Danio rerio: one gene and its partners. The protein of the gene in region 6 binds, or shares a complex with, the protein of the main gene of each other region. Links are inferred from orthologs where the notes say so. Each region holds a gene or a part of one and is shown on either strand. Other genes may lie near its edges.

What was found.
Region 1: plrg1 (region 6) and snrpf share a complex: the UniProt entries of both Homo sapiens proteins name them as parts of the minor spliceosome. The link is inferred for Danio rerio from reciprocal best matches to the Homo sapiens genes PLRG1 and SNRPF.
Region 2: plrg1 (region 6) and cwc27 share a complex: the UniProt entries of both Homo sapiens proteins name them as parts of the minor spliceosome. The link is inferred for Danio rerio from reciprocal best matches to the Homo sapiens genes PLRG1 and CWC27.
Region 3: plrg1 (region 6) and rbm48 share a complex: the UniProt entries of both Homo sapiens proteins name them as parts of the minor spliceosome. The link is inferred for Danio rerio from reciprocal best matches to the Homo sapiens genes PLRG1 and RBM48.
Region 4: plrg1 (region 6) and rbmx2 share a complex: the UniProt entries of both Homo sapiens proteins name them as parts of the minor spliceosome. The link is inferred for Danio rerio from reciprocal best matches to the Homo sapiens genes PLRG1 and RBMX2.
Region 5: plrg1 (region 6) and snrpd3l share a complex: the UniProt entries of both Homo sapiens proteins name them as parts of the minor spliceosome. The link is inferred for Danio rerio from reciprocal best matches to the Homo sapiens genes PLRG1 and SNRPD3.
Region 7: plrg1 (region 6) and snrpg share a complex: the UniProt entries of both Homo sapiens proteins name them as parts of the minor spliceosome. The link is inferred for Danio rerio from reciprocal best matches to the Homo sapiens genes PLRG1 and SNRPG.

The regions. Positions count from the first base shown.
Region 1 is NC_133182.1:19,363,610-19,368,586, forward strand, and holds the start of snrpf (small nuclear ribonucleoprotein F), read left to right. Parts: upstream 1-1,720; 5' UTR 1,721-1,907; coding exon 1,908-1,910; intron 1,911-2,771; coding exon 2,772-2,897; intron 2,898-4,668; coding exon 4,669-4,733; intron 4,734-4,820; coding exon 4,821-4,887; 3' UTR 4,888-4,977. UniProt on the Homo sapiens protein: Plays a role in pre-mRNA splicing as a core component of the spliceosomal U1, U2, U4 and U5 small nuclear ribonucleoproteins (snRNPs), the building blocks of the spliceosome.
Region 2 is NC_133185.1:12,054,762-12,059,740, forward strand, and holds the start of cwc27 (spliceosome-associated protein CWC27 homolog), read left to right. Parts: upstream 1-1,831; 5' UTR 1,832-2,007; coding exon 2,008-2,049; intron 2,050-3,052; coding exon 3,053-3,149; intron 3,150-3,277; coding exon 3,278-3,390; intron 3,391-4,869; coding exon 4,870-4,979. Other genes in the region: protein SREK1IP1, read right to left, coding at 769-816, 1,194-1,206. UniProt on the Homo sapiens protein: As part of the spliceosome, plays a role in pre-mRNA splicing. Probable inactive PPIase with no peptidyl-prolyl cis-trans isomerase activity. As a component of the minor spliceosome, involved in the splicing of U12-type introns in pre-mRNAs.
Region 3 is NC_133194.1:42,804,494-42,809,201, reverse strand, and holds the start of rbm48 (RNA-binding protein 48), read right to left. Parts: upstream 3,329-4,708; 5' UTR 3,252-3,328; coding exon 3,126-3,251; intron 2,990-3,125; coding exon 2,799-2,989; intron 947-2,798; coding exon 801-946; intron 717-800; coding exon 157-716; intron 1-156. UniProt on the Homo sapiens protein: As a component of the minor spliceosome, involved in the splicing of U12-type introns in pre-mRNAs.
Region 4 is NC_133196.1:41,950,139-41,954,027, reverse strand, and holds the end of rbmx2 (RNA-binding motif protein, X-linked 2), read right to left. Parts: intron 2,035-3,889; coding exon 1,166-2,034; 3' UTR 1,069-1,165; downstream 1-1,068. UniProt on the Homo sapiens protein: Involved in pre-mRNA splicing as component of the activated spliceosome. As a component of the minor spliceosome, involved in the splicing of U12-type introns in pre-mRNAs.
Region 5 is NC_133196.1:14,700,132-14,704,867, reverse strand, and holds the start of snrpd3l (small nuclear ribonucleoprotein D3 polypeptide, like), read right to left. Parts: upstream 3,343-4,736; 5' UTR 3,226-3,342; intron 1,377-3,225; 5' UTR 1,369-1,376; coding exon 1,243-1,368; intron 1,137-1,242; coding exon 944-1,136; intron 48-943; coding exon 1-47. UniProt on the Homo sapiens protein: Plays a role in pre-mRNA splicing as a core component of the spliceosomal U1, U2, U4 and U5 small nuclear ribonucleoproteins (snRNPs), the building blocks of the spliceosome.
Region 6 is NC_133176.1:27,252,060-27,256,328, reverse strand, and holds part of plrg1 (pleiotropic regulator 1), read right to left. Parts: intron 3,063-4,269; coding exon 2,926-3,062; intron 2,803-2,925; coding exon 2,749-2,802; intron 2,644-2,748; coding exon 2,550-2,643; intron 1,534-2,549; coding exon 1,443-1,533; intron 1-1,442. UniProt on the Homo sapiens protein: Involved in pre-mRNA splicing as component of the spliceosome. Component of the PRP19-CDC5L complex that forms an integral part of the spliceosome and is required for activating pre-mRNA splicing.
Region 7 is NC_133198.1:36,935,896-36,939,529, reverse strand, and holds the end of snrpg (small nuclear ribonucleoprotein G), read right to left. Parts: intron 3,051-3,634; coding exon 2,926-3,050; intron 1,329-2,925; coding exon 1,278-1,328; 3' UTR 1,034-1,277; downstream 1-1,033. UniProt on the Homo sapiens protein: Plays a role in pre-mRNA splicing as a core component of the spliceosomal U1, U2, U4 and U5 small nuclear ribonucleoproteins (snRNPs), the building blocks of the spliceosome.

The DNA of each region.
Region 1 (4,977 bases), on a different chromosome or scaffold from region 6:
TGGTTATTGATTTTAGAGAGAGAGCACAACGCAAAACTCATCCCACATTAATTAATGAGGAGCAAATTCAGTTAGTAATAAATTATAAATATCTGAGTGTGTTAGACAATAAACTTAAGGGATGTATTGACTGACTGTAAAAGAAAAAGCTTCAACAGAGAAATTACTTCCTTAAGAAACAATTATCTTTTAATGTTGACAACACATTGTTTATCATGTTTTATAGTACTTTTATTCAAGTACTGCAACACTTTGTGTGATCTGTTTGTATGGACATGCTTCTGAGGCCCAGAAAAGGTCACTGCTGGGGAAGGTGGCAACTACAGCCAATAAGTTGTTGGGAATAAAACTAAAGAGCATTGATAGATAGTACATACAAAGAAAGAGTACTAAATAAGGCTATCATGATTGTCAAAGATGAGTGACATCCTTTTCCATACACCTTCCAAGTGTTATTATCAGGTCATCACTATTGTGTTGCCAGATAAGTGAGAAATAGGACAAAATCTTAATTTATACCGTAAGCAGTTAAGTTTTTAAATTCCTCCTCCCTCAGTAGCAGTTGATGGCCAGTAGTCTAGATATTTATTTAGAGTAGGGGTACCATGTTTTTCATGATTTATTTATATAAATGGCAAATTTGAAATGTTAGTTGTCTCTGTGAGTGTATACTGCAAATGAAATTACCCTACAGGGACAAATAAATTAACCAACTAGCTAGCTAACTAACTAACCTAACTATATACACCCTCTCTGGGGAAGAAAATATTGTCCATCACTATCCACCACTGTACATGACATTTCAAACATGACCTCTTTTGAATAGATGGTAATGAAATGCAAAAACCTACTGGGCAAGTCTTCGGTTAAATGATTGATGTGGGATATTTGCATTTTTTTTTATTTATATAATTGAGGGTCAATAGTTTTGCAAAGCTAAATTACTGTACAAATCAAAGAGAAATTAGATGTGTTGTGCTTTCAAATACAAATCTAAAAGACTGTAAATGATTGCAAGTTTCCGTTCTCGTTGAATGAAATGATAAAATGATCCACTGCTGCTGTTTTGGGAGTTGTTAAAAATGGTACAAAATAAATATATAAAATAATTTATACATATTAATTTTTTTAAAGGGATAGTGATGAAATGAAATTATGTTCTCATTTACTTACCCTTCACTTGTTTATTTCTTCTGCTGAACACCAAAGAAGATGTTTGGAAACTGGTAACCATTTCTATAATATGATGAAAAACAAATACAATAGAAGCCAATAGTTACCGGTGTCCAACATTTTCGAAACAACAATACCAGTTTTAACATACTTCCAAATATCTTATTTTTGTTTTCAAATGAAAAAAAAGAATCTCATTAAGGTTAGAAACCCCTCAAGGGTGACTATATAGACAATTTTGAGGAATCTAAACAAAAGACAATGGTCCTTACGTATTTCCTGTTTTACATTTTAAATTTCTATAGCTTCCGAGAATCTAAAAAGAGCCACATATTGATAAATAATGTTATAAGAACTGTTTTAACATTAAGTTATGGTTGAATTGCCTCTTGATACAGCTGTGAAACAGTTTTATAACAAGCAGGAAATGTTTATGGGCCAACGACATCATCAAACGGAAATAGTTTATAGTAAGTACATTTTTATTTTTGGATAAACTATTTCTTTAATTTCAGACCTCCACTCCAGCTCAACTGAGGATTCACGGCTCTATTCCCCGCCTGTCCAGCGAGTGGCGCAGCGGGCAGATCCGCTCTTCTCTCCTGCCGTGCGGTCAAAGTGCGCTCGTAGTCCTTCCCTCTTTCGGCGGCAAGGCGTGCGAGTGTGCTGCATTAGCTTATACTATTCAAATAAACAATTTTTGTGTCTGAAAATACTACTTAAGTAATCCAGTCATGGTAAGTTCATCGTTATCTCTTTTATTTGTATCCAAACCTTCAGTTTGGCGAAAGAGCGTAGACGTTTTCATTCATAAATACGCTGATAATGCGGCTAGGTGTTAGCATCAGGAACGCAGACTGGACGTTGTTTTCAGTCATTTTCAGTGTTGTGTTAGAAATGTTGAGCTTTGCTGATAAATGTTCCTCCTTGTTCTCTTACAACCTAGTCGGTGACTCCCAAAATGCGATTAAATGATATATGTGTGGGAAAACTAAAGATAAAAACTAACGTTAAAGGAGTTTTTTCTGCTATTACTGATGCTTATTTGCAGCTAATTCTGGTGGAAACCAAAAACAATTAATGCTGTAAATTATTATATTGTTTTATTGAAGTTATACAATATATATATATATATATATATATATATATATATATTGTGTGTATGCATGCGTGTTTTGATTTTTTATACCACAAACTACAGTAATGAGAATTTGTCATTACAATTTAAAATGAAGTCATATCAATTGTATCTGTTTTTGTTTTGTTTTTATTATTTGTTTATTTTGCTTGTGTAAATTCATGCGGCTAGTGTCAAAACTTTTTACTAAAAGTTATAACAAGCTGATGAAGAAAAAAAACTAAAACCCAAAATGTAAATCTTTTTTTTTTTCTATTTGGTCAAATATGACTGAGCATCACCGGAGGCTATGCTAAAGTTTCTTCTAAGCTTTTCACTCACTTGAGAATAAAATCATCAACATTTGTAGTATTTTACTTCTTCAGGAACAATATTATGTTGACATGGAATTGTTTGAAAATGACACTTAGGGATTGATTTCGAATGATGTTAATTGTGTAACACTGATCTTTTCCCTCAGAGTTTGCCGCTGAACCCAAAGCCCTTTCTGAATGGTCTGACAGGAAAGCCTGTGATGGTGAAGCTGAAGTGGGGCATGGAGTACAAGGGCTACCTGGTGTCAGTGGATGGGTACATGAACATGCAGGTATGTTTAAAAGAGTTAACGATTCTATGAAAATCCAGCTCCTTAGTAGGAAGAAAATTTAAACTATTCTTTTTAACTCGAGACATACCGTTGTATATGCCATTATGGAGATGCTAGACACACACAGACATCTGCTTAAAGCAGAAGGTGGCCAAAAATGTAAATATTGTAATGGCAACCTAGCTGTCAAGCATATACACTTCATATGAAAACCTCAATATTTAGCAATTCTGAGTGTGCCTTACACAAGTGAGTGGGCTTTATAAACACTCCTTGACACACTTGCACTAGTTTTGTCTATTTGTACCAGACCCTCTCTTTCAACCACTTCATAGCTCTATAAAACATTGTGCATTTCTGAGATTGGTTCACACAGGTGAGTGGGCTTGACAAACCACCTGTAGAAATGCTAATCTCTCTAAATGCAAGTTTTTCTAGATCTCTTACAAGGACTTAATAAAAAAAAAAAAACAATGTTTACCTGTGACTGTACCACAAATTGTTTAACTGGTCATTTCCTTCAACCTTAAATGATCTCTTTTGCACAATATTGTTCTGTCTTATATAAAAGTACTTGTATAGTCTGTCTAAGGTTATGCGTAAAGTTTTTTTTTTTTTTTACTATTTATAGACCGTTTCAATGTGGTGATGCCATTGGCCCATGAATATTTCCTGCTTGTTGTCAATTCATATCTGTAACAAGAGGCGATTCATTCATAACTTATATAACAGCTATTATAACAGCTATTGTAACTATCAATATGTGGGACTTTTTGGACTCTCAGAAGCTACTGAAAATACAGTAGGACCATTGTTATTGTTTACATCCCTCAAAAAGGTCTTTAGTACATGTATAGTTAATTACTGCTCTGCTATGTAGTTATGTATAGGTTTAAAATCGCTCTTATGTCTATAAGGGTTGTTTATATTTATGATAGTTTATTTATGTTGCACTGTGGTCCTGCAAGACATTTCACTGTGTGTCCACAGATGTAGCGGAATGACAATAAAACTCAACTCGAGTTGATACTTTTGCAATGCCCTGTTTAAAATGTTTTAGATAACCATTTTTATCTGGAGAGTTCTTAAAGCAGGGATGTCAAACTTTGTTCCTGGAGGGCCGCAGTCTTGCATAGTTTAGTTGCAACCCTGCTTCCCCACACTACAGTTTGAGCATGTGAAATTCTGCCGTTTGGTGCTGCAAAAAGGGGCGGGATTAAACAAGCTGATTACGATTTGACCATATTTAAAATTTCTGTACAGAGAGGTCGTGTTTTGATCTTCTATTGGTCAGAGTTCACCAAGCTTTAAGTTTCCAACACATCGAACTGCGAAACTTGTGGCACGAGCTTGCGTTTCCTGTCTAAGGCATTTACTTGCTAATAAATGGAAGTCTATAGGGGTGCAGTGTGCCTGCCGCTTTACCTGTAGGTTTCAAACGACTGTAGGACTCAATTAGTTTGATCAGGTGTGGTTAATTAGGGTTGGAATTAAACTGTCCAGAGCTTTTGGTCCTCCAGGAATTGAGTTTGACACCTGTGCCTTAAAGCAACTATTTAAAAAAAAAAAAAAAAAAAGTGAATCTTTCGAAGATGGTAGAATTAAACTATTTTAAGTTTTTATCTAATTTTATTTGTTAATGTTGTTTGTCTTTTTATTGTTACATATATTGTAATGATATTTTGTATATTTCATATACTTTTGTTATAAGACTCGCAAAACTGATATGGCAATAAACCCTAAACTGCCTCTCTCTTTGCGATATTTGTAGTTGGCCAACACAGAAGAGTATGTGGATGGAGCGTTAGCTGGTCATCTTGGTGAGGTGCTCATCAGGTAAGCTTTTGGACGTGGAAACTCCGACATGGCAATAACTGAAAATGTACATTTTAAATTATTACATCAATGTTTTCTTCTTTGCAGGTGTAATAATGTTTTGTACATTAGAGGAGTAGAAGAAGAGGAAGAAGATGGAGAGATGAGAGAATGAAGAGTGTGTTGGTTTCTTTTCTAACAAGATTGGAAGATTTGTTGGTTAATTTACAGTTTGTCTCAGTTTTATGTGAAGCTGTGTCTCCTT
Region 2 (4,979 bases), on a different chromosome or scaffold from region 6:
AAAGGAGAGAAAGAATATATAGTTTGATTGTATTTATGCATAGACACACTTGTAAGTACACATAAATGTAATTCAATCAAAACTTTAAATATGCATTTTGTAAAGATGGATAAGTTAAATCGATCTATAGAGATACATGGATAGATATACAGAAAACAAGAAATGTAACACAAGCCAAACGTCAAATATGTTCACGTTTAGACCACGGGTGTCCAAACTGGGTCCTGGAGGGCCGATGACCTGCATATTTTAGTTCCAACCCCAATTAAACACATCTAAACCAGCTTATCAAGCTCTTCCAGGAAGGTCTATTGAAAGAAGTTGGATCTAAACTATGAAGGACACTCCAGGACTGAGTTTGGACACCCCTGGTTTAGACAGATAAATGGGCAAACAAATCCAAATTCATATGAAAATGTTAAAATATGTATTTTTGTAGATAAACAGAAAAACTGTCAAAAGTAAACGTAAATTAAACTTTAAATATATATTTGTGTAAAGAAAGACAAAAAAAAAAAAAAAAAAAACGCCATCCAAACAACACTTCAATTAAGTATTTATGTATATATTTATCTGTGGATTTGTGTGTAGATAGAAAGATGGTACATGGATAGATGGACTATGATTCATTATCTTTATTTATTTACAAGCAGAAATATAGAAAAAAAATCTACTTATAAACTGAAATATTGTTGGAAAGAAACTACAGAACAAAAAAAAAAAGCAAAAACAAAGTCAACTGTAAAGTTATGTTTTTGCCATACTCACGATAGCCACATCTTTTACATCCAGCTCTGATGTTGTCTTTATTTGGACCTGTTCATAAAAAGACATTCAATTCAATTTATATTTCTTTAAAAGTGTCATTTACATTGTTACATATATTCTGTATTGATCATATTTCATAATGGATTCATCTAGCTCACCATTTAAAACAATATCAAAGAAAGTATGTAGAATTAAAATAATGCGTCGTCATGAGATTTTATAAACATTATTAATCAGTAAACCGTAACTGTAAATGTAAAACATTCAGGAATTCAGGAACAACAGTCTTTTATTTAGGTAAATGTGTGCGATGTGAATGTCCAGACGAGCGAAGATAATCGTGCAGTGTTACTACCTAGAATAATCCCGAAGTAGCATATCAACAACAATCAGCAATGCTTATGGACAAACCCACAAAAGTATACCTGGGGCAGCCATGTTGTACTCGATTATAAATAGATAGAAATGATAACTTTCGTCGTATTCCGTCCGCCGCTTTTCAAAACACAAAACCGATCCGTCTGGTAAAAGAGTCCGGGTGGAAAGTGAACGAGTGCTCTATGGTACCATTTGGAGAACAGTTAATCCCTTCCATAGATGCATGAAAAATATGAATGTATTACGAAATATTAGCGCTAAAAAGATAAACGCAAGATGCTGCACTGAAAACCAATAAATATTGTCACGATAAGAGATAATTTGCCATATCTTTATGGTTTATCTGAATTTTGAGATATTGGCTTAAGCAACAATTTTTGGGGATACATTTTTCTGAATAGAAAGACACAATTTTCACTCGCAGGACAAAATGTTTTAAAAAATGCCAACACTACAATACTATACTACACGCTATAATTCAAAGACGACAATATAAGTGGAGATTATTTTCGTGATGTGCCCTGAAGTTTTAAACTTTACACATAAAACATGGTCATATTGATTATAATGATTGCTTGTAAAAATAAAAATCTGTCTCTCAATGTTCTATAATCTAAATGGTACGTTTATATTTACTCCGAGACTATAGGGGGCGATAAGGCCGAACAAAGTCTGCATGACGAATGAACGAAACTCTGCGGCGGCGTGACATGAAGCGCTTGTAAACAGAACATACTCTGGTACTTTATATCGGCTAGACGTGCTTCTTATGTTTTTGTAACATCTGCGCATATTCTGTACATTCTCTGTCATCAATGAAACCGTGGTGAGGGAAGTATACTCCAATAATACGCACTAAAGATGAGCAACATATATATTCAAGAGCCACCAACTAATGGAAAGGTGAGTTTCCATATCTCAAAATCATATTCATGATATATAATACTGCATATACACTAATTTGAGTCTGATTTTGCTTGCAATTTAAGTATTTTATTTACTTGCATTTTAATTATGAATTATGCAACGAATCAGTATTTTACGAGAACAAGCAAGTTAGTACCTTTATACATTTGTTCACGTATTTTAGAAACAGAATGGCTTATTAAACCTTTAAACTAATGCTTTAAAAAAACGAAAAAAACAATGAAAAGGTTTACACACATGTACATTTAAGATAAAAGAATATTCTCATATGTAATACAGCTCATCAGGGTGAAATTCTAAAAACCTTTAAATTGGTGAGATCTTTACTCTTTAATAGTGATCTTTAATAATGTGTATATAATATAATATATCTGACTACTTAAATAATACACAAGTGTTTAAGTTGTCATTCTAAATCTCCCAATAATATGTATTTAATAATAAAATGCTTCGGCGACGCAGTAGGTTGTACTGTCGCCTTACAGCAAGAAGGTCACTGGTTCGAGCCTCGGCTGAGTCAGTTGGCGTTTTTGTGTGGAGTTTGCATGTTCTCCCTCCGTTCGTGTGGGTCCACAGTCCAAAGACATACGGTACAGGTGAATTGGGTAGGCTAAATTGGCCGTAGTGTATGAGTGTGAATAAATGTGTGTGGGTGTTTCCCAGAGATAAGTTGCGGCTGGAAGGGCATCCACTGCATAAAAACGTGCTGGATAAGTTGACAGTTCATTCTGCTGTGGCGACCTCAGATTAATAATGGGAATAAGCCGAAATAGATGAATGAATAAAATGCTTCATTTTATGAGATCCATTTAAATCTCTTTAGTTTTATTTTATGCATTAGATGTGATAATAAAGGCTTTGTATGTTTATTTTAGCAGTTTTTTCTATTAACAGTTTTTCCACTGAAAAAAACAAACTGTTATAGTGTAAAGCTTTACAGTAAATAAAGCCTTTGAACTAAACTGGTGTTTTCTCACAGGTCTTGCTGAAGACCTCTGCAGGTGACATAGACATAGAGCTCTGGTCTAAGGAAACTCCCAAAGCATGTAGAAACTTTGTTCAGCTGTGTATGGAAGGTAGGTGGATTCACACACAAACTCATGCACATATAAAAGGCAATGATTTTATTATAATATTTTTTGCACTATTCATCATATCAAGTCATCTTCATACATAGACATTTGCATTTTTGCCTGTTTTTAAGGTTACTATGATGGCACAATCTTCCATCGTATGGTGCCAGAGTTCATAGTTCAAGGAGGAGATCCGACAGGCACTGGAACTGGTGGGGAGTCTATCTACGGCCGGCCTTTTAAGGTTGTTGTTGTTTCTGTAAATCATTGGGTGCTTTGTATAATTACATTGATGATCTACAAGTTATTTTTGAAGAAAACAATTACACTCATACCTCAGTAAATTTGGCGTGTCTTGCTATTAATATCTCAATTCTTTGTGGTATATTCAACAAGGTGGTAGAAAGATTCGTCCATATTGACATTTTTTTGGCATACACTCACATGAATGTGAATCTCCACTTTCAGCACATGCTAAAGGTGCTCTATTGGATTGAGATCTGGTTTTTGTGGAGGTCATTTGAGTTTAGAGACTCACTGTCATGTTAAAGATACCAGCTTGAGATGATCTGAGCTTTGTGACAGGATGCGTAACCCACAGAACTGCTACTGATTGGATAATTTATCTTTTTGGACCATTTTGTGTAAACCCTAGAAATGTTTTTTTTTCTTGTTAAAAATCCCTGTAGATCAGCTACAGAGTTTCTGAAATGCTCAGACGCCAACAACCATGCCACATTCATAAAATCCCCCTTCTTCCTAATTGTGATCGACAACTTAAAAGCTTATGATGTTTTTCTACTGGCCAGGAAATTAAAACTAGTTATTTCTAAGCCATCTTTTTATATAAATAATGTTGAAACAAGCCAAATATAGCTGTATGCATGCACTTTTTTTATTTAATATAACATTTCTTTAAAATCAGTTGACAATTTAAAAAAGACGAATTGTTGTAAATTATGCACTAAAATCTGTCCAGATTGAAGGTCTCAGATCACCAGTTTACGATTCGTAAACAGAGCAGCCTCTTATTAATGGAATGTTATTGTAAATATAATAATTAAGTCATATTAGTAAAAACAGTGTTATTAAACAGTATTTAAGTTTTATGGGGATGGATTCTCAGTGATCAGAAGATCAGAATGAAATACTCTCTCTGTTCAGAAAATGTCCTTCAGTCTAGATGAATACATATAAGCAGTCCACTGATTCTAATTAGCATTTGCTTAAAATGAAATTGAATCAAAACAGAAATGTTGTCCCTGTGTTATTATTAATATAACATATTTTTAACACTTTTACCTCAAACTGAATAGCAGTCTACACTTATAAAAAATACTTATAGTAATTATAGTGAATACCGTAGTGTTTTTGAATGATACTATTGTGAAATGTATTATACTAAATATAACTGTATTTAATACTCTATAATAGTTCAAAGAATAATACAAATTTGTTAATGAATGCTATCAGCATTCTGTAGCATTTACTATAATGAACTAATAAACTAATAAATACTGTAGTATACTTTAGGTTTTACTACAGTAAACTGTGAGCTTTGGTTTGAACAGCAGATCCTACTGATCACATTTACATGCCTAAATGCATTGAGATTCAATTTCTGTGAGCAGATAAAAGGGCTTATCTAATAAAGTGGCCAGTGAGTGTTTCTTTGTTTTGTGTACAAATGCTATTAGTCATTAATTGTTTTTTCCCAACTCAGGATGAATTTCACTCCAGATTACGATTCAATCGGAGGGGTTTGGTTGCTATGGCAAACGCAGGACCTCATGATAATGGGAGCCAGTTCTTTTTTACTCTTGGACGAGCAGA
Region 3 (4,708 bases), on a different chromosome or scaffold from region 6:
AATAAATTAATTTCATAAATTTTGGAATAAGGCTGTAACATAAAGAAATGTGGAAAAAGTAAAGCGCTAAGAATACTTTCCTGATGCACTGTAATAGGTGAATCTTAAAATTGGGTTAACAATCCCAATATTGTTGAAAGTAATAAGAAAACTAACCTTGGTCATGGTGTTACGGATCAAATTGGCGGTAACATTTAACGAAGAATCTTCCATGTCCAACTTGGGCAGCTCTGGTAATTTTGGACCAATCAGAACCCCCGTTTTATCTGCTTCTTTCAAAAAGAAGGTTTGTTCATCTAGTTTCCTTTTTCTGCTCTCTAAATGTGTAGTCCTTGGCATAAATCTAATAGACGGAGTGGAAATCTTCTGTTTTTGCCTCAAATCTCCCTCTTTAACACCTGAAGATGAGGAAGACTCACTCTGCGTTGAGGTTTTTTGTACAGGAGGGATGAAATTATGCAGAGAGCCCATTTTATCCTCTGTCGTTTCATTGGTCCACTGTAATTGTGATGGCTGGGTAAAATGATTTTGAAGTCTATAAGAAATATCTGCTGTTGGAGGCAAAGGCAACAGAGGAAATCCCATATAGTCAGAATTTACGTTCTCCCTTCTGGCTTCTTCAGGGTTTTTCTGCATTTTAGGAGCTTCAGCTGTTCGTGTGTCTGTGCTTGATGATGACTCTGTGTTTACTTCCGCTTGCTGACTGTGTAGTTGTGCTGAAAACAAAATAAGCATATGATAGTTGTTAGACTTTCTACACATGCAATTTATTTAGAGAGAATACCAATGCATTACCATACCTGCATTTCGGCTTGCCCAGTTAACATATCTCCTTCTGTCTTGTAATTTCTGCTTTGTTTCCTCCACGGTTTCATACTCAGGAGCATAGCAGACATGCAGCTGACCCCCGAAGAAGCTCTTTTCATCTGTGTGCCTTTTAGCTGCCCTGTAAAAAAATAAATTAATTAATTAATTTAAAAAAAAAAAAAAATTATATATATATATATATATATATATATATATATATATATATATATATATATATATATATATATATATATATATATATAGCATGGCAATATCCACTCACTGGCCATTTTGCTAGGTACACCTGTCCAACTGCTCGTAAACACCAATTTCTATGCAGCCAATTACATGAAAGCAACTCAATTCATTTATGCATGTACATGGTCGAGACAATCTGCTCCAGTTCAAACATGAAAGCATGGATCCATCCTATCTGCTCAATGACATGCTATCATGTCAATATGGACCAAAATTAATGAGGAATATTTCCAGCTCCTTGTTAAATCCATGCCAGAAAGGATAAAAGCAGTTCTGAGGTCAAACCCGGTACTAGTAAGGTGTACCTAATAAAGTGGCCGGTGAGTGGATGTCATTCAGTGTAACAATAGTTTATAAGAAAAACAATTTTTGTCAGGCATATTTTTAAAAATCCCAGTACAGCTATTTTTACTTTGACACTATCCTAAAAATATATAGTTTTATTAAAATATAATTAAAATAACTACGATTACTTAATTCCATATATTTGAAATAATTATTCTTTGATTTTTGCTTTGGTTTAGAGGGGAAAAAATATGTAAAAAAGTATTTATAGAATTATCAGCAATAAATACTCTTTATAATATTCTTAAAATGTTTAATGGCAGTAAAGAGATTTACAGTGTTATTAAAGAGAAAGAGACACTAAAGAACATTAAAGAATCTTGAACAAAAAAAAAAAAAACCCTTAGATGTTTTGGATGTTAAGTTGTGCAACTTTACAACATTGATAATAATTAGAAATTATATACTGCACAACAAATCAGCAAATTAATTATTTCCGAAGAGTCATGTGACAATAACCATGTATAAATGCGAGTACCAAGCATGAAAATTACCCTTCATCCTCAACACAATACATTACACTTTTAAACAAGATAGAAAATGTGACAATGTAATAATACATCCGATTGTTGATGCTTTGTTTTTAGTTAAAAAAATATTAGCTGACTTGGTGAGCATAAGATGCTTCTTTCAAAATCATTTTCAAAATGGAAGACTCCAAACAATTGTATGGTAGTGTGTGTACTGTATATAGTTTTCTATATGTGTTTATTTAATATTTTAATAATGAATCATAATGTTTTAAGTCACATTTTGTGGAACCTACAAAGACAGTTCACTCCAAAATAAAAATAGACATCATTTACTCACCCGTTACATGTCACAAACATCGTCTGAGCTGAACACAAACGATATTTTAAAGAAAGCTTGAAGCCGGTAACCATTGACTTCAATACTATTTATTTGTCCTACTATGCAAGTTGATGGTTACTGGATTCCAGATTTCAAAATATCTTCCTTTGTGTTTCAAACCACTTGAGGGTGAATAAATTGTTATTGTTACAGTATTTGAGTCAACTATCCCTTTAACTAAAAGTGAATGCGACTCTGCAGTGCACCAACATGGTACATTGAGGTAAGGATGGTTTTAGATTCACACATTCTTTCAATGACAACTTGTGACATGCTCCCTATATTGTTTACCATGGTACTTTTAATATTGGGTTTGAAATCACATGCAAGTATGACTTCAAATCAGCATTACCACTATTTATTTGACTGTGAACAATGTTGAACTTTGATAGTCACTAGCTGCTAATTTGATTCACTATTAAGAATATGCAAAGAATACTTTTCTGAAATTATATCATCAACAAGAAAAATATGGCACAATATATAATATATGGCACAGACTCGCATGGGACATGATTTAATCAGCCTTTTCTTACCGTGCACTCGTCAACTTCTGGAACTGAATTAAGTAAACCTCAGTGAACTCTTCTGCTGGGTATTCATCCAGTGGCCTGTACTCCTCGATCACTCCATACAGAGCAAACAGCTGCACCAGCTCAGCCATCACTCCAATAGCGGGCACTCCTTGAACTAGTAAATACCGAGACTCCAGGTTGATGGTGTACACCTAAAATTAGCGATTCAGCCATTATTTTTATAAGCAGAGATTCAGTTCTTGTGAGAGAGACCTTAAAGACAACATGACTGCTTACATTGACGCTGCACAATTCGATGAGATAAAGGCATTTATAAAATAAACCGACCTTAACAGCTTTGAGGCGTCTTCCTTCTCTGTATTTTGGTCGCGTTTGGGCAACATTTTGCTGCTCGTGATGTTTATACACTTTTTGTGTGTCCCACACAGAGGAACTAGCAACTGACCCGTCCATCACTGTGGAAATCAGCGACGAAAAAAAACAGGCTTTCAAAATAAAAGTTCCAATTAGAAAAAATAAATAAAAGCCCGCTTTCCCAAAAGGATGCTAATAAAAATAATATTAAGAAGAATAATGATGATGGTGATAAAAAAATATTATAATGATAATGACGATGATAATTATAATAATAATTCATTTACACATCCAAATTATGATAAACACTTCTAACAAAATAAAATAAATATCAAAAAGATTTGGACAAAAGTCAAAATTGTAAGATGCTAACTCGCAGAAAATGTCGCAACTATTATAAATGCAGACGAATTAATTATAAACTATATTATAAATTTATTTTAAGTTTTTAACGTTTAAAACAAGCTTCTTTTTTTACCCATTTAAAGGGTTAGTTCACTCAAAACCGAAAATTCTGTCATTATTTACTAGGTTGTTGACTTGTTCCAAACCATTTTGATTTACTTTCTTCTTAACACAAATTAGGATTTTTAAAAATACATATAATACAAAACTTCCATATAATTATTTTCAGCATTCTTCAAAACATCTCTTGTGTTCAGCAGAATAAAGAAACTCAGAAAAGCTTGGAACCACCTGAACCTCTGAGTAAATAGTGAGCCCATTTGATTTTTTGGGGTGAACTCAATATATTACTATAAATTACTAGTAGGCCTATTTAATGTGGGAGATCATTATAAAAATTATTAGAAAATTAAGCAAATATATACTATTCAGTTGCTGGAGTAAAAGATTAACAGTGTTTTACATTTATTAAATGTAAAAAGATTTGTACATTACATTGATATAATGATGTAGGCTATTAGCCTATCCTGTACATTAGCTATATTTCATTCATTATGCATCCATTAAATAAATTAAACCTGTCCAAATTAGATCGTTTAAAATGTTTGAGCAAACGAGAATCTGCTATGTTGACTTTGTCAGATAAATAATGACTGATCATCTATGATGACTGATGGAAAACTGTTCAGTGTATTATATTGAATGGTGATTATTCCCCATTCGCCCGTCTTGATCGCTATATTTGTGAAATGGTATGCCTATGCATTATTGTTTACAGTGTTTGCCTATACAATACATATTAACAATAACCTTATGTGTAAAATATATTGATGATGTCCGAGAAGAGGTTAATAACATTAACACCCGTCTAACTTAGATCGTGTGTGCCTGAAACGTGTGTATATCTGCAGCTGGATAAGTTTTAACCCCAAAACACACACATATTAAATAAATGAATAACGTATACATACATTTTGCGGGGCTACTCATATTTCATTTAATAAATATTAATACTAACACACGGACATGTTTGCACAGTATTGCTACAAGATCATTACTGTAGTTGTAATTAAAACCCGGCTAATGACCAATCAGCAGCAAGGACTGGACATATCCGTTTTATAAAATGGTTTTATCATAGGCTGCTATTT
Region 4 (3,889 bases), on a different chromosome or scaffold from region 6:
ACTAAAATAGGCATTATTGGCGAGCATGCACATCCTCTCAGTAGTAAACAAACAGCTCGCAGTCAGCTCACGTGTGATTTCGCGGTCGTGAATACATCATTACATTAAGACAGAAATTACATTTTTGGGTGAACTATACCTTATAAATACAATATGCATCTCTTTCATAGCCATTTGTAGGTGTCCACATTGCTGTGAAGACTTGTCTGACTGCCTTTATGCTTCTCTCCTGACCTTGAATAAATAATTGGCTGAATCGTAGAAAAGCTGAATTAAGATCGTGTAAGGTCAAATCGAGATTGTGACCTTTTTTCAATTAATCGTGCAGCCCTAATAGAAACCGTTTCAAATATATCAATTCAAGATGTTGATTAGAACAAAAACTATGTGGAAAATATTCCTTCAAAGACGTGCCGTTGCTTTTATTTAGAACACGATTTAAATCAGCCTTTAGGCTCGATAGTCAGGCTCGCTCCTGTTGGTCCTCAATCTGGCAACCTGCGCTTGTTTTGATCCAGGAATGTAATACCTAGTTCAACCACTGGGTGTACTAGTATTAATCTGGGGTCGCCAAAGCGAAATAAACCGCCAACTTATCCAGCATATGTTTTACGCAGCGGATGCCCTTACAGCTGCAACCCATCTCTGGGAGACATTTAGACTACCCAATTCATCTGTACCACATGTTTTTGGACTGGGGGAAACCGGAGCAGCCGTAGGAAACCCACATGAACGTTCGGAGAACATGCAAACTTCACATAGGAACGCCAACTGACCCAGCCGAGTCTCGAATCAGCGACCTTCTTGCAGCACTACCTACTGTGCCACTGCGTCGCCTACATTCAATGTCTTTTAATAGTTAATTTTATTTTACAAATGATTTCAGGTTTACAATTGACAGGAATTCTTCGCATCACCTTGACTTTGGAGTTCATCAGGACATTTATTCTATTTTATTCTTGTTACAGTATTTGTGCTAACTTAAAATGAAATCTATTTATTAGTCAAATAAAATGTGTGTAATTTAACATTGAGTGGCCATTAGTCAATTATTCCAGAAAGACTTAAAAAAAGTGTGAAACATTTATTTACATTTTTGTAGTACAATACAATAAAAACATGAATATTTTTTACATCAAAAGAAAATGTAAACTACTGAGTTTGATCAGTTTCGCCTGTGTTCTCTTTCACGACTGTGATCTCTGTGTTTGCCATTACCTCTGTCTCTCTCTCTGTCCCTGTCTCTCTCTCGTTGTCGGACTCTCTCCTCATCTCTCTGTCTTCCTCCGTCTCTCTCTCGTTCTCTGTCTCTCTCCCCATCTCTCTGTCTTCCTCCATCTCTCTCTCGTTCTTTGACTTTCTCCACATCTCTCTGTCTTCCTCCGTCTCTCTCTTGTTCTTGGTCTCTATCCCCATCTCTCTGTCTTCCTCCGTCTCTCTCTCGTTCTCGGTCTCTTTCCACATCTCTCTGTCTTCCTCCGTCTCTCTCTTGTTCTCGGTCTCTATCCCCATCTCTCTGTCTTCCTCCGTCTCTCTCTCGTTCTCTGTCTCTTTCCCCATCTCTCTGTCTTCCTCCATCTCTCTCTCGTTGTCTTTCCCCATCTCTCTGTCTTCCTCCGTCCCTCTCTCGTTCTCGGTCTCTTTCCCCATCTCTCTGTCTTCCTCCATCTCTCTCTCGTTGTCTTTCCCCGTCTCTCTGTCTTCCTCTGTCTCTCTCTCGTTCTTTGTCCCCCTCTCTCTCTCCTTCTCTGTCTCTTTCTCTCTGCTGTGTTTCTGCATGTCTTCTGTCTGTCTTCTTGCCCTCTTCTCTCTCTCTTTCCTTCTCTTTTAACTGCTCCTGCTCATCTGCTCTGTCTCTTCTATTAGCCGCAGGTCCTTTCACGCTGTATTTCTCATACGCCACATCCTCCTTCTCCTTCTTTACTCTGATAGGAGAAGATGCAGAGCTTTCAGAGCGCCCCTCACGTTTCTCCTCCTTCAGAGCCTTTTTCTTCTCTTTCTTCTCCTTCTTCTTTTTCTTCTTCTCCTTTTTATCTGAAGCATAACAAACAATGTTTATCAATACATTTGTATCTCTTGTGACACTTAAAATACTAATCATTTGTCAGACTTATGTATTATCAGATTAATGCTTATATTTCATGAGTAGTTACATATTCCAGACACATTTATTGACATTTACATTTACATTTAGCAGACGCTTTTATCCAAAGCGACTTACAAATGAGGAGAGGGGAAAAAATTTACACAACTAAGAGCAACAATGAATAAGTGCTATAGGCAAGTTTCAGGTCTGTAAAGTCTAAGAAGGGAAGTATTAGTAGTATTAGTATTTTTTTTTTTTGGTACAGTTAGTGTGATATTCAGAGAGGCAATTGCAGATTAGGAAGTGAAGTGGAGACTAAATAGTTGAGTTTTTAGTTGTTTCTTGAAAGTAGCGAGTGACTCTGCTGTTCTGATGCAGTTAGGGAGTTCATTCCACCAACTGGGCAGATTGAGCGTAAGCGAAAGTGATTTCTTCCCTATTTGGGATGGAACCACGAGGCGACGTTCATTCACAGAATGCAAGTTTCTGGAGGGCACATAGATCTGCAGAAGTGAGAACAGATAAGAAGGAGCAAGGCCAGAAGTCACTTTGTAGGCAAACATCAGAGCTTTGAATTTGATGCGAGCAGCAACTGGCAGCCAGTGCAAACGGACTAGCAGCGGAGTGACATGTGCTCGTTTAGGTTCATTGAAGACAACTCGTGCTGCTGCATTCTGGAGCAGTTGAAGAGGCTTGATAGAGTTAGCTGGAAGCCCGGCTAGTAGAGAGTTGCAGTAATCCAGTTTGGAGAGAACAAGAGCTTGAACAAGGAGTTGAGCTGCATGTTCAGATAAGAAGGGTCGGATCTTTCTGATGTTATAGAGTGCGAATCTGCACGATCGAGCAGTTCTAGAAATGTGGTCAGAGAAGTTTAGTTGGTCATCAATCATTACTCCAAGGCTTTTCACCATTTTGGATGCAGTAATCCATCTGGATTGAAAAGTTATGGTGAAGAGTCGAGTTGGCAGAAACTACAAGCATTTCCGTTTTTGCGAGGTTCAGCTGAAGATGATGATCTTTCATCCAGTGTGAAATATCCAACAGGCAGGCTGAAATGCGAGCTGGAACCGAGGGATCATCAGAATGAAAAGAGAGGTATAGCTGGGTATCATCAGCATAGCAGTGGTAGGAGAATCCATGTCTCTGGATGACTGGTCCTAGAGATGATGTGTAGATGGAGAACATAAGTGGCCCAAGAACAGAGCCTTGAGGTACCCCAGTGTTTAGATGCTGTAGGTTGGACACCTCTCCCCTCCAAGACACCCTGAATGACCTGTCAGAGAGGTAAGATCTAAACCATTGTATAACAGTGCCCGCAACGCCCAGTGACTCGAGCGTAGATAGCAGGATCTGGTGGTTGACAGTGTCAAAAGCAGCTGACAAGTCCAGCAAAAAAATTTATTGTGCTAATTTCTCTGTGTTCATGTATTCAAAGCAGATTTATGTATTACAGCTTTGGTAACACTTATCACACAAAAAGGTTGTATTAGTTATGTAAACAATTCTGTTTATAATTTTAGTGGACAGAATGTCAAAGCGCAGTCTTGGAATGGAGGGGGTCTGGTTCAGGGACTATAGTTATTTGCAGACGTTGTTGTTGTTCTGTTGGCCTCATCGAACATGAACCTTCAGCATGCACTGGGGCGGTTTGCTGCCGAGTGTGACTCGGCTGGGATAAGAATCAGCACCTCCAATTCCGAGGCCTTTGTGCTTCACCGGAAAAAGGTGGTTTGCCATCTCCAGGGTGGAGAAAAGTCCTTAGGAGTTTAAGTATCTCAGGGTTTTGTTTACAAGTGAGGGAAG
Region 5 (4,736 bases), on a different chromosome or scaffold from region 6:
ATTTCCCCTTCCTCCTGGTCCTCCTCGACCTCGGCCTCTTGCTGCGACTGTAACGGAAACATAAACAGTTCATAATTTCACCTTAAGCTTTTCCCATGAACAATGTTAACCCGCTCCGCTACAAACAGTGTTCAGTGACACCATCTCAAATATAAAACGTCAGTATAATCTACATGTAATCGAAAAGTTCTATAATACACAAATGCTATTAGAAACCATGCAAATTATTGATTTGGCTAAAGAGCACTTGACTAGGGCTGGGTGAGTTGGTCTAAAGTGTAATTCTCAATTACTTGAACATTTTAACTAGATCACGATTAATGAATGATTATTGTGTGTGTGTGCGTGTGTGTGTGTGTGTGTGTGCGTGTGTGTGTATGTGTGTGTGTATGTGTGTGTGTGTGTTTTGCCCTCATATTTCACTGACAAGCTTTGACAAATAAGTATGTTTAGATATTACAAGTGAGAGATTTTTGAATGAAGGTTGCATTGCTTGATTTTACAATAACTGAAGAACACACACTATCTATAATTATGTATTGATCATCAACACTGAAGATCTCAATTTAAAACACACATTACCTAAAACCAACAGTCAGTTTTCTGAAAATAAATAACTTGCACTTTTGAAAACAAAATAAATTATTTTCTGTGCTTTTCATATTAAAAGTATAAAACTAGCCATATCTCTTTTAAATAAAATAGCTCTTGTATATCCTGTAAATAATATTTTGAACAGCAATTGCATTTCTTGCATCTTTTGTAAACAAATATTTTAATGTAAACAATAGCTTAATGGAAAATATGCCGTCTCAAGGCATCTCTGGCGCAGCTTACAATCATTGCCAATGCAATGCAAAGTAAGGCTCAAAAATTACACAATATGACTGCAAACACTGTAATGAATTTAAAAAAAAAGGTAACTTTTTTTAAAATAACTAACCTTGAGCTTTGAGAATAGCAGCTTTTCCTCTACCGGCTCCTGCTCCTTGGTTTTTGTTTTTCATGCTCTTCAACATGGGGGCGTTTTTCAACATGTCAGGCAGAATGAGAAAGCGGATTTTGCTGCCACGGATGTAGACCTGCTCGAGCTGTGACACTCTGCCATCTCGATAGGTCACTGTAATGTTGGACATCTGATTCGCAGCACAACAGAAACGCAGTCAGTTGCATGACTCGAGACAACAGACATTAAAAGAATGCGATTTTAGTGGGATAAACTGTTCTTCAGTTCAGCAGTACCTGGCAGTTCATGTTATCCTCTGCTTCGATCAGTTTTCCCCTGTACACTTCACCTGTGTTTGTCTCACAGGTCACAATGTGACCCTCTGCTTCATGCAGGACTTTGATGGGTACGCCAATAGACATGTTTTGAACTGTGGGACAAAAAAAACAAAATTACCAAAAAAATATTATCTATACATCTATATATCTATCTATGTGTGTGTGTGTGTGTGTATATATATGTGTGTGTGTGTGTATGTGTGTGTGTGTGTGTGTGTGTGTGTGTGTATGTGTGTGTGTGTGTGTGTGTGTGTGTGTGTGTGTGGTGTATGTATGTATGTATGTGTATATATATATATATATATATATATATATATATATATATATATATATATATATATATATATATATATATATATAGACAACAGACACTGACCAATGGTTATAAAAGGGATAGTTCTTTCAAAGTGAAAATTTGCTGATAATTCAACCTCATCCCATCCACAATATTGACGACAACATGCACATCATTATGTCACCGGGAGACCTTAATGAAAAGGCTAAACATGTGCACAGGCTGGGGGTTTAAGGTAATACTGTACATAATGCTCAGTTTCTTCCACAGACTGATGCTGTAAATGCCCCCCAAACACAGTTGTTGTGTGTCCTATTTAATGCAAATGAGCTACTGCTTGTAAGAGGGTGGAGCATTTACAGCATGCGTCTCGTCTCGGGCACACAAACCCTTTCTTTGGGTTTATCCGATGACTGCTGCACTCATGTGACATTACAGTTCTTCATATTAAGGAGAGTTTGTTATTTGTTTGCATTTTTTACATTGTCAGGTCAAATTCCTGCTATACTATTTGTTGCCTGTGTACTAAACTTTTATTTAGCATCTTTACCCTCTTACTGCTCTAAATCTATCAAATAAAGTTTAGGATTTTTTCCATCTTACCAACCAAAACACACACGGAAATGCATTAAGATCAGTTCAGTGTATGTTTCTTTCAGATGAAACGGCTCAGACTTACATTTTAGTCAAACCTATTTTTGAGCAATGTTGCTCGGCAATATTGCAGAGTGATTCTGCTTAGCTACTTTCCTATTGATAATGGGTATCAAAATTGTATTTGGATCCTTCATTAGCTGTCCTGTGTCTTACTTGGTTTCTCAATGATAGCATCACTACAACATCTTCCAACAACCATGCTCAAAATTGTTCTGGTATCATCCCCTTAATGTCTTTGATATATATATATATATATATCAGTAAGCATGGGAGGAGCTCGTAACGTCACTGAATCTGAAGTAGACTGCTTCTGATTAATGAAGAATGTGTAAAAAGTGAGTGTATATTACCATTACAGCCTTTTTGCTTATACTGTCGAAATCAGAGTGTAGTTTTAACTCAAATATATAGTTATAACACATTTAACTTTAGCTTTTGACTGTATATGTTTTGTGAATATCAAAGGTTACCCTTTGACTTGGATTTTATTTATAAGAGCCAGGTTTAGTTTTATGAAACAAAAAATAACTCCCAAAGTCACCTCTTAAATAGAAAAAAATAATATGTCATATTTTTTGAGTAATTTAAAATAACCGACTCGTTAGAACGATTTATTATACCTTTTTTGCTTTTGATTCAATAAAATGAACCGACTCTTACGAATCATTCGTTTAAGAATCATGTTCTAAACATGTAACGTTAGCTGGAAAGAATCCACGCTAGAATATGAAACACCATAAAATCATTTGGCTACGGTACTTGTAAAAACTGACTTATAACGTTACTGAACTCAATAACAGGATGAAGCGATAGACATTAATGAATATCCAAGATTGATCTCTCAAACGAGTCGCGTGAATGCAAACAATGAATGACCGAAATATATGTTCCTCTACTAAATAATCGAAAAAGGACTGTATATTTTAGCACAGAACCACGCAAAATACCCCACGTAGTTATCAGGTTATAATCATAAAGCATTACAGTACCTTGAATCTGCAGATTCGTTGAAACACAGCAGCGGAACAACGTGAGCTTGTGCGACGTTTTCCCGCTCCCACAATGCACCTGAAAGCAAAAGCCCCGCCCTTTCCTGAAAACCAGTTGCATCCTGGGAGGTGAAGTCCGTATTAAAACTACGCAGCAAACATCTCAAGACTCGCACACAAGAGGGCAGCATCGAATTGTGCATTTTACTTAAAATAATTTAATTTAGTGTTTTAAATCTGAGTCAAATTAGTGTCACATTCATAATAAACAGTTAATCTAAGTAATTTGATTTAATTTTAAATATTCATATTGTAATTAGTTTGTTAAATCTATCTTTGAAATCCAATATATGAGAAGAACTGTAAATAAAATCGATAGAATGAACCTATTAAAACAGTTTTTTTTAAATATTGTATATTGTATTATATACAGCTATGATATAATATATAAGATGTTTATTTTACTTTTATTACAATTATTGAATTATTCACATTGTTAAAAACAATTGAATTTAATATAATGTCAATTTTATCTTTCAAATTAGTATAGCAATATTCATTCATTCATTCATTCATTCATTCATTCATTCATTCATTCACTTTCCTTCGGGTTAGTTCCTTTATTCATTAGGGGTCACCACAGCGGAATAAAACGCCAACTTATCGTACATATGTTTTACACAGGGGATGCCCTTTCAGCTGCAACCCAGTACTGGGAAACACCCAAACACACTCATCCACACTCAAACACTACGGCCAATTTAGTTTATTCAATTCACCTAGAGGAAACCCACACCAACACGTGGAGAACGTGCAAACTCCACACAGAAATGCCAACTGACCCAGCCAAAAATCATAATTTCATTATTTCATACATTAAAAATATATAAGTAATTACCATAATACACTGTAAAAAATTTGTTGCTGTTTTAAATTTTTAAGTTGAATCAATTTAATTTTAGTAATTTCAACTTACATCAATCAAACTGATTTAAAGGGGACTTTTTATGGCCCTTTTTACAAGATATAAAGTTTGTGAAATCTTTAAAAGTCTCTGATGTCGTTTTGGTTACTGTCGCTTTAAATTCAAATGATATTGTGTTCCCAGCCCTTTTTTAAAAAGGGGAGCCACAAATGCCTGTGTGTCAGCATAGTGGCAGATTCAAAAACAAGACTAATGTAATATGCTAATGAGGGACAGATTGTCACTACAAAGAGAGAATGTCAATCAAAGTTTTTCTGCAGACTAAAATTAATATATTTTTACCATTAGAAGGTGATTATATTTACAGACTGTTCCACACAACTGTTTAGACCTCTTATAAAGGGAATTTTTGCATAATAGGTCCCCATGAAGTTAAAATTGCTAACGTAAAAAAATTAACAAAAATGAACGCTGTTGTGATGTTTGGATCAAAAATATATATAAAATGGATCAAAAATATGCTGTTGAAGTCATAACTATTAGCCCCCCTTTGATTTTTTTTTCTTTTTTAAATATTTCCCAAATG
Region 6 (4,269 bases):
TAGTGGAAACGCCAAGATGTGAATAAATTTAGAAAATGCACATAAAAAACATGTGCCCATACCTGAGGATAAACTTTTTATTTCATAAAAAAAAAGATGCACATTAAAAACGGTCATATGATTTTGTTATAAGGGATCATGTGATGATAAAAATGTGTGTAAATGGACAAACCAGCAGGCTCAGCACATTGTAAAACATATAAAATGTTGTTTTGGTCATTCTAAAACACCTTAAACGTTTCAGTATTAGTGTTATTATACAATTAATGACCTAAAGAACTATCAAGAGCGTCTGTGCTCAGCGTCTCACGGCTTTAAACGCCTCCGCACATTCACTGCGAATCGGCATACTGTCTTCTAAGGCGCAAGTAATTTATTAAATAAGGAAAAAATTGATGCAGCTTCTCCTACCGCAACAAATTCCATTTTTACTGTTGATATTTGGCACCAGTTAATCAGGAAGTGACAACTTTGTTCTCTTTGACTACTTGGATGGAAACGCTGCTTTATTCGTATGTCTTATATGGGATATTCCAGTTTTGCGCTTAGTTAATTAGCATTGAAATTATAAAAACTAAAGTAAAAAAAAGAAAATAAAAATGATTAATTAGTTTACAAAAAACTATTTTAAAATAACTTTAAATTGATTGTAAATTTAAAAAAAAGTATATATATATATATATATATATATATATATATATATATATATATATATATATATATATATATATATATATAATTATTGTTATTATAAAAAGTATAAATTTAATTTTTTACAATATATTATTATATTATATATATTATAATCATAGTTATTGTTGTTTTTTATATATATATATATATATATATATATATATATATATATATATATATATATATATATATATATATATATATATATATATATATAAACAGTGTTGCTTGTGATGTGCGTTTAGATAAAGACCCAGAAAATTGGACTGCAGAAGTTGATCCTTCCCTCTTCAGCTTTGAAATTTTAGTTTCTTTTCTTTACATTTATGAATCATTTCAATTAAAGAGCCCATATTATCCATAACAAAAGGTTATATTTTGTCAACATCGATACGAACAGGAAAAAGATCCAGATGAACGACAAATCATTTAAATGACTCCCGAGTCGAATCTTTTATTAAAAATCAGCTGGATATTTTCATTCACTAAGAGCTGTGTTGCACACTGCATGGAAGGTCATTTTATTCCCCCACAATAGTGACTTTTTAATTATTAATTGATTATATTTTAATTAAATTGATTTTCTGGTTTGGATCTTTATTTGGTTTTGTTACTTTATTCAAGCCTGGAGGCTGTAACACAATTACATCTAAATACAAACCCTAACTAAACTAATACATTAACTATAGCACATAACATTAATAATACATGTTAAACCTGAACACACAAAAGTAAAATCTGTTGCTGACCAGTGCATGTTGTGGGGGATGAGATCTCTCTGCTCCTCCTGCATGTCTGTGGATTTCTGCCACACTGGCTGCAGTTCGACTGGCTTCCTGCCTACAAAACAAACAATACCTCAGATTTAATTTACCCTTGAATGTGTCTTAATGATCTGATCACAAGTTAACAGCACCAAATACAGGTTCACTACAGGGTCCATGATGTTGCTGGTCAACGGACTAATTCCCCAAAAATATATTTAGGTGAACTAAGTCAAAATAACTTTTTTTTAGCACACAAAACAGTTTTTGAAGTCACAATAAATAATTTTACAATATTCTTGATTTTCTTTTTTTTGGACTTTAAATGTCTCATCATGACCCTTACTGTCTTTTAGAAGTTCTTCTCATGTATCTAAAATACTATATAAATATCTTGATTTGTGTTTCGAAGAGCCTCAAGGAATTGGAATGACATGAGGATAATTCAAAACAATTGCAATTTTTGGGTGAAATAATTCTGGTGAAAAACAACATTTTGAAATGAAAATAAAATAAATGTTTATACCTATCCATTTTTTTTTTTTACTTTTTTTTAATAATAAACCAATTCGTAACCAATTTCACATTATTACATTTATTAAATTCAATTTTAAACATTTAAAAGGGGTTCTTTCCTTAACTTACAGTCAGGCATGACTTACTGTCTAGAAATCAAAGTAACCATATGTAAATGCACGCAAAAAAAAAAAAAATGCTTTGTTATGATTTGGTTTTCTGAGGTCAACCAAAGAGAAGCTTTAATTTCTCATTGTGAAATTACAACAGTCATACATTGGTATTATAGAAATCTGTACAATTACTTTAAATCAAATTCGACAGTAATAACATTTATTATTTTGTTTACAATTTTCGTTTGAAAAAAAAAATTATACTATTTATAATAACAATAACTATGATTATAATTATTTCAGGCCAAATTGTGCAACCTAAATACAAAAGCATAAGTGTTGTCGTGCTGGTTTTAAATTTTTTAAAATGTTTTTTATGGCAAAAAATATATATATAATTTTTTTTTTTCTAAAAACATTTAATAGTAACTACAACAACCCATAAGGAAATACAATTCAGTACCTAGCTTGAGACGGAGGAAGAGCAAGGGCCATGGAGTGAACACCCATTTCACTGGGCATCTTCAGCATTTGTGTGTCTGCAGTGAGGACAACTCCTGAAAGCGTAATAATAAAAAAAAAAAAAAAATTATTAGGCCTCAAATAAATTGGTTGAAATGTTTAGCATCTAGGCTAAATAAGTAAAAAAATCCTGGTTCAACCTGGAGCAGATGGATAAGGGTGTGTTCCTGTCACCAAATATTCTGGAGTAGTGTCTGCACAAATGAAGTCAAACAGTTAATAGTTAATGAAATCTTTGAGAGGTTTATTAAAAAAACAAACTAAATGAAAATACTGATATAAAGAAAAAGCCAACAGGATTGGTTTATGAGCCATACCAGGCAGAGGGTACGCCGATTGGCCATATGGGTCAGAGGTGTGGAGAGAACCCTTTTCTCGGCCCTCCTTCAGCACAGGCATGTGTAAGACAGCTTTGTATTCGGCCCGCATCTTTGCTGCCATCTTCACCTTGAAGCTACAGACAAAACGTAAATAACATTAACAAAAGTAACAATTAATGTAACAATTTACACCATTTACTACTGGTTTATTAGCTTTCTATTATTGAGATATTACAATGTTTTAGCACTCATAAAGTTTGATCTTATTGTACATCCCTAATCCTACTCAAATACCTAAACCCAACTACTACCTTACTATTACAAAGCAGCTAATTAGTAGTTAGAGAGCTAAATGTCTTAGCTGATGGTTTGCTAATAGTGTAAATAGTACATTCAACTAAAGCAGAACCAAGTATTTATCAAGTTTTTTTTTTATTTTGTGGCAAAACATTGCTGAATAATTCTAAGCGAGTTTACAGCATAAGAAAGGTTTATACAAACATTAAAAGGGTGATCCACTACAATATCATATTTTAAACTTTAGTTAATGTGTAATGTAGCTGATGTAATGCGCTCAAAGTTCAATGCAAAGGGAAACATTGACTTTTACAGAGTAAGCCTAGCAAAGCCTATAGCGAACAAAAATTGGAGACTGCAAAAATTACATCCGGGTTAAGCAGAATTTATACTTTTGCCTGGCAACGCAGACCTCCGCTGACTGCACGCGCACCTCGCGAAACAGACGAGGCTTTTATATTTGCCGTGTTCGCTGTTGTGATATTCCTTAAAATGACAGGGGGCAGTCAAAAGAAACTGATCATAAAATAAGATGGATAAACAGAGAAGTAAAACGTCTCCGGAACTAAGTCATATCATTAATATCATTCAATATTTTTACGAAATATTTAATGCCTTCGTATGCTTTCACCCATGAGAGGAGTGGGCGGGTCTGCGACCAGCTCCTCCATGGCTGCAGGACCAGATGGCTGCCCACCCTCATCGCACTACATCCATATCCCCTGTTCCCATCCCAGTTGTCAATGTTGTGTCTTGTCTGTGTGCTTTCTTGTGCTAGATGGGCTGTTTTTCTCCGTCTCAATTTGCTCTAATCAAGAGCAAAGTTTAGAGGGTATTTTTTGCCTAACCCTCCTGATGCATCTTGCCTTTCTAAATGCTACCTCCTGTGACCTGTCTTCCCCTGAAAATTGTGATGTTTGTGTACGGTCAAATTTCACAATACGAAAGTGTATGTGACAAATAAAGGCCTGATTTGATTTGATAAAGCCTAGACAAACAAGCCATCAGTATATTGTAAACCGATGGGTTTAAATATTCCTTTCC
Region 7 (3,634 bases), on a different chromosome or scaffold from region 6:
TCCCCCTACTGGGCATCATGGACAGCATTGTGGCCATTTACATCTCTGGGCACCACCATCTCTCAGGACCTGAAGTGGGACACTCACATTGAATCTATTGTCAAAAAAGCTCAACAGAGGCTGTACTTCCTTCGTCAGCTGAGGAAGTTCAACCTCCCAAAGGAGCAGCTGAAAGTTCTACACTTCCATCATTGAATCAGTTCTCTGCAGGTCAATAACTGTCTGGTTTACTTCAGCTACCAAATCCAACCTCTGTAGACTATGTCGAATAATCCGGACCGCTGAGTGAATCACTGGTACAACCCTCCCTACTCTCTGAGAGCTGTAGTTATCCAGAGCGAGAAAAAGGGCTGCCAAAATCACTCTGGACCCCTCACACCCAGCACACTGCCTCTTTATAAACTGTTACCTTCTGGTGGACGCTACAGAGCACTGTGCACCAGAACAGCCCGACACAGAAACAGTTTCTTCCCTCAGGCAATCCATCTTGATAATTTATCACACTTGATAATTATGAAACAAACATCACTACTTGCTACACACTTTTTAAACACACATACACTTATTAAACAACATACAATAACGGTTTCCCCACAAGTCCATACATATACCTGTACATACACTTGTCGATTTGTATATTTGCATTCACTACTGCTATTTTAAAATATATTTATAATCTGTTTTTCGTCCTGTCTCTAATTCTGTTGCACTGTAGAAACGGTCACGAAAACAAATTCCTCGTATGTGTAAACATATCTGGCAATAAAGCTTTCTGATTCTGATTAACTTTACCCTCATACTTGGGACAACTAGTTTTACTCGAATATTTTTTGTAAGCACAGATCAGATTAAGTGTTTTCCCTTTTACACAAATATAGTTTTTTTTATGCTGAATGACGTATTTTCCATATATAAATCCTTATTTTTGAACATCAAGCAAGTTTTGCTGTTATTAAAAACATGTTCATTTTTATCAGAGACTGTGAATGCAAAGCCTGGTAAATATCACACAAATCAGACATGCGTCAAAAAATGCCACTTGGATAATCACACTTCATTTATTCACAAAATGTTTTATGAATTGTGTACACAAATACAAAGAGGAAATATATAAAACACAAAAAGTTGTTTACAAACTGAACATTTGTCGACAAAATCAAGGATTTCTGCTTATTATTGAGTCTTTGTTGTAAACAGACATGAGAAACCCATTCTTACGTTTTCTGGCTGTGGGGAAAAATAACAAAAAGAGGGAAAAAAAAAACTGGGTGTCTTTCTCATACTCGCTCAAGAGCCTCCAGCATGATGATACTGTTTCCTCTGATTACCTGAAAAGACAAAAAAAAGAAGAGATTAGCCATTTAGTCCAAGCTATCATGTTCTACTAGTGGTTAGCACTGTCACCTCACAGCATGAGGGCTGCTTTTTCAAGTCCCGGCTGTGTCAGTTGTCATTTCTGTGTGGAGTTTGCATGTTCTCCCACTGTTCGCGTGGGTTTCCTCCGGGTGCTCCGGTTTCCCCCACAAGTCCAAAGACATGCGCTACTGACCATATTCTAAAATGCGGAGTGCGGCTGTTTTTGCGATTGTGTGTGTGGATGAGAATGTATGAATGTTTCCCAGTACTGGGTTGCAGCGGGAAAAGCATCCGATTTTATTTGTACTACATTTTATTTTATTTAAGGTAAACACCAAAGATGCCCTAATTTTTTAGACTGTACAGAGCAGCATTATAACAGAACCCTAAAATGTATTTAGTACGATGATCCCAACCAGAAAAGGTGGAGTGTGGCATAATAATAGCTCTTTTTTTTTTTTTTGTCGCATTGCTTTTATGTCTTATTAGCAATAACTTTAATGTTCTCACACCAAGACGTTTTTTGCTCGCGGTTTCCGTCGTTTAACGCCTCGTGACTAAATAAAGGGTGTCATGGTGATCGTGCACACCAACACGCAAAACAGTAGGCGTAAAAGCGCCATTTAAAAAAAAAAAACGCCTCATTCTCGTTTTTTTGTTTTGACTCGCCGCGTCAAAACCTTCTCCACCAATCAGGTTGCCACTTTTGTTCACGTGCAGGGAGCTGCTGAAGTTACAGTAAACAGCACTTGGAGGCGCTCAAGTGCAAAACTGTCAATGGGAGCGCTGCGATGCGAAACGCTGACAATAAACGCAAATGAAAAGCATCCCAGTGTGTAAGAGCCTTTATTCTGCTTCACACAACCAAGCTAATACATTCCTTTTATACTTTAGCTCATCCACAAACATTTCTGCAGAAGTGGTGTAGGATGTAATGAAAACCATAACTCCCATTATTCCACACTCACACCATGTCCACACATAAACAGGGTATTTTATAAAACAGTTTTTCCAGCTTGTGTTTTAAAAACAATCTCTGTCCACATCAAACAGAAAATTGCACTGTGATCCATGTTAAGGGCACGCCGAACCAACTGGCAGAGATTGACACATTTGCTGGATTCACACCAAATGGGGAAGTATTTTTGCAGGTAACTTGCATACAAGTCAATGCAAACATGAGAACAGGTGGATTACCATCCTGTGGTGCGAACTAATCAATATATGCAATATTTTTGCCGTGAACGTGCAAAATTTGCCGCATTCAGATCTTCCGCATTTGATGTGAACTCAGTCTTGTAGGCCAATCAGAAAAACATGAGGCAAACAATGAGGTGAAGTCTAGTTGTAGTGTCCACACCAGACCCAGAGTTTTGGAAAATCTTAACCCTGGCTGTTTTCATGTGGAAAAACCTCACAGAAAAAAGTGGTTTAGAAAATAGCAGGGCTTGTGTGGACAGGGCATTAGCCTCATAAAAATCTGTGTTTGTTTGTTGTGAATACACACCCTCTAGCAGTAAAACTGACATACTGTGCCTCTAATAATAAATTGTTGTAATGAGTACTGACCACCATCCCAATGGTGTTCATTTGTCCTCCTGGAGCCATTTCTATAGTGTCATCAACGACCAGATTCATGAAGGGGTCAAATCCACGCAAGATGCCCTGAACATGACGGCCACCGTTGAGCTTTACTGAAAGTGCACATGAAAACATCAGCTTTAAAAATAATGCAATAAAAGCCATACAAATTAAAAGTGTCAGGCGTTCATTCAGATTCATGTCAATTATTTAAATTTCTATAATATCTTTGCATAGAAAGCCACATTAATTCATTCAAAATGTGCGTACACTTTTTGTATTGAAGTCGAATAGGATCAAATGAATCATTGTTTGTTCTCTAAAACATAACTCAGTAGCTTTATGTTAAAGCTGAAACCACACTTCATGTGATCAGAAACTTCTCATTAATGAGTAATTTTTTTATATTATTGATAAAACCCACAGGCAAAGAAAAAAGTATGCATTAAATTAGTTATTAATAACATACCCCACAAACATTGAATATATTTATATAAATATACAATTAAATTAAACAAGGTACAACATTTATTTCAAATGTTCACAAAAAAAAAACTTCACTTGCAAAATGTTTAATTTCAGGTAAAAAAAATAAAAATAAATAAATAACCCGAATTAGTTTAACTTTTGTTATTAATTAAACAGAAGAAAAAATAAAAATCTGTAATATTAGAACAGAGGCGGATATAAATACATA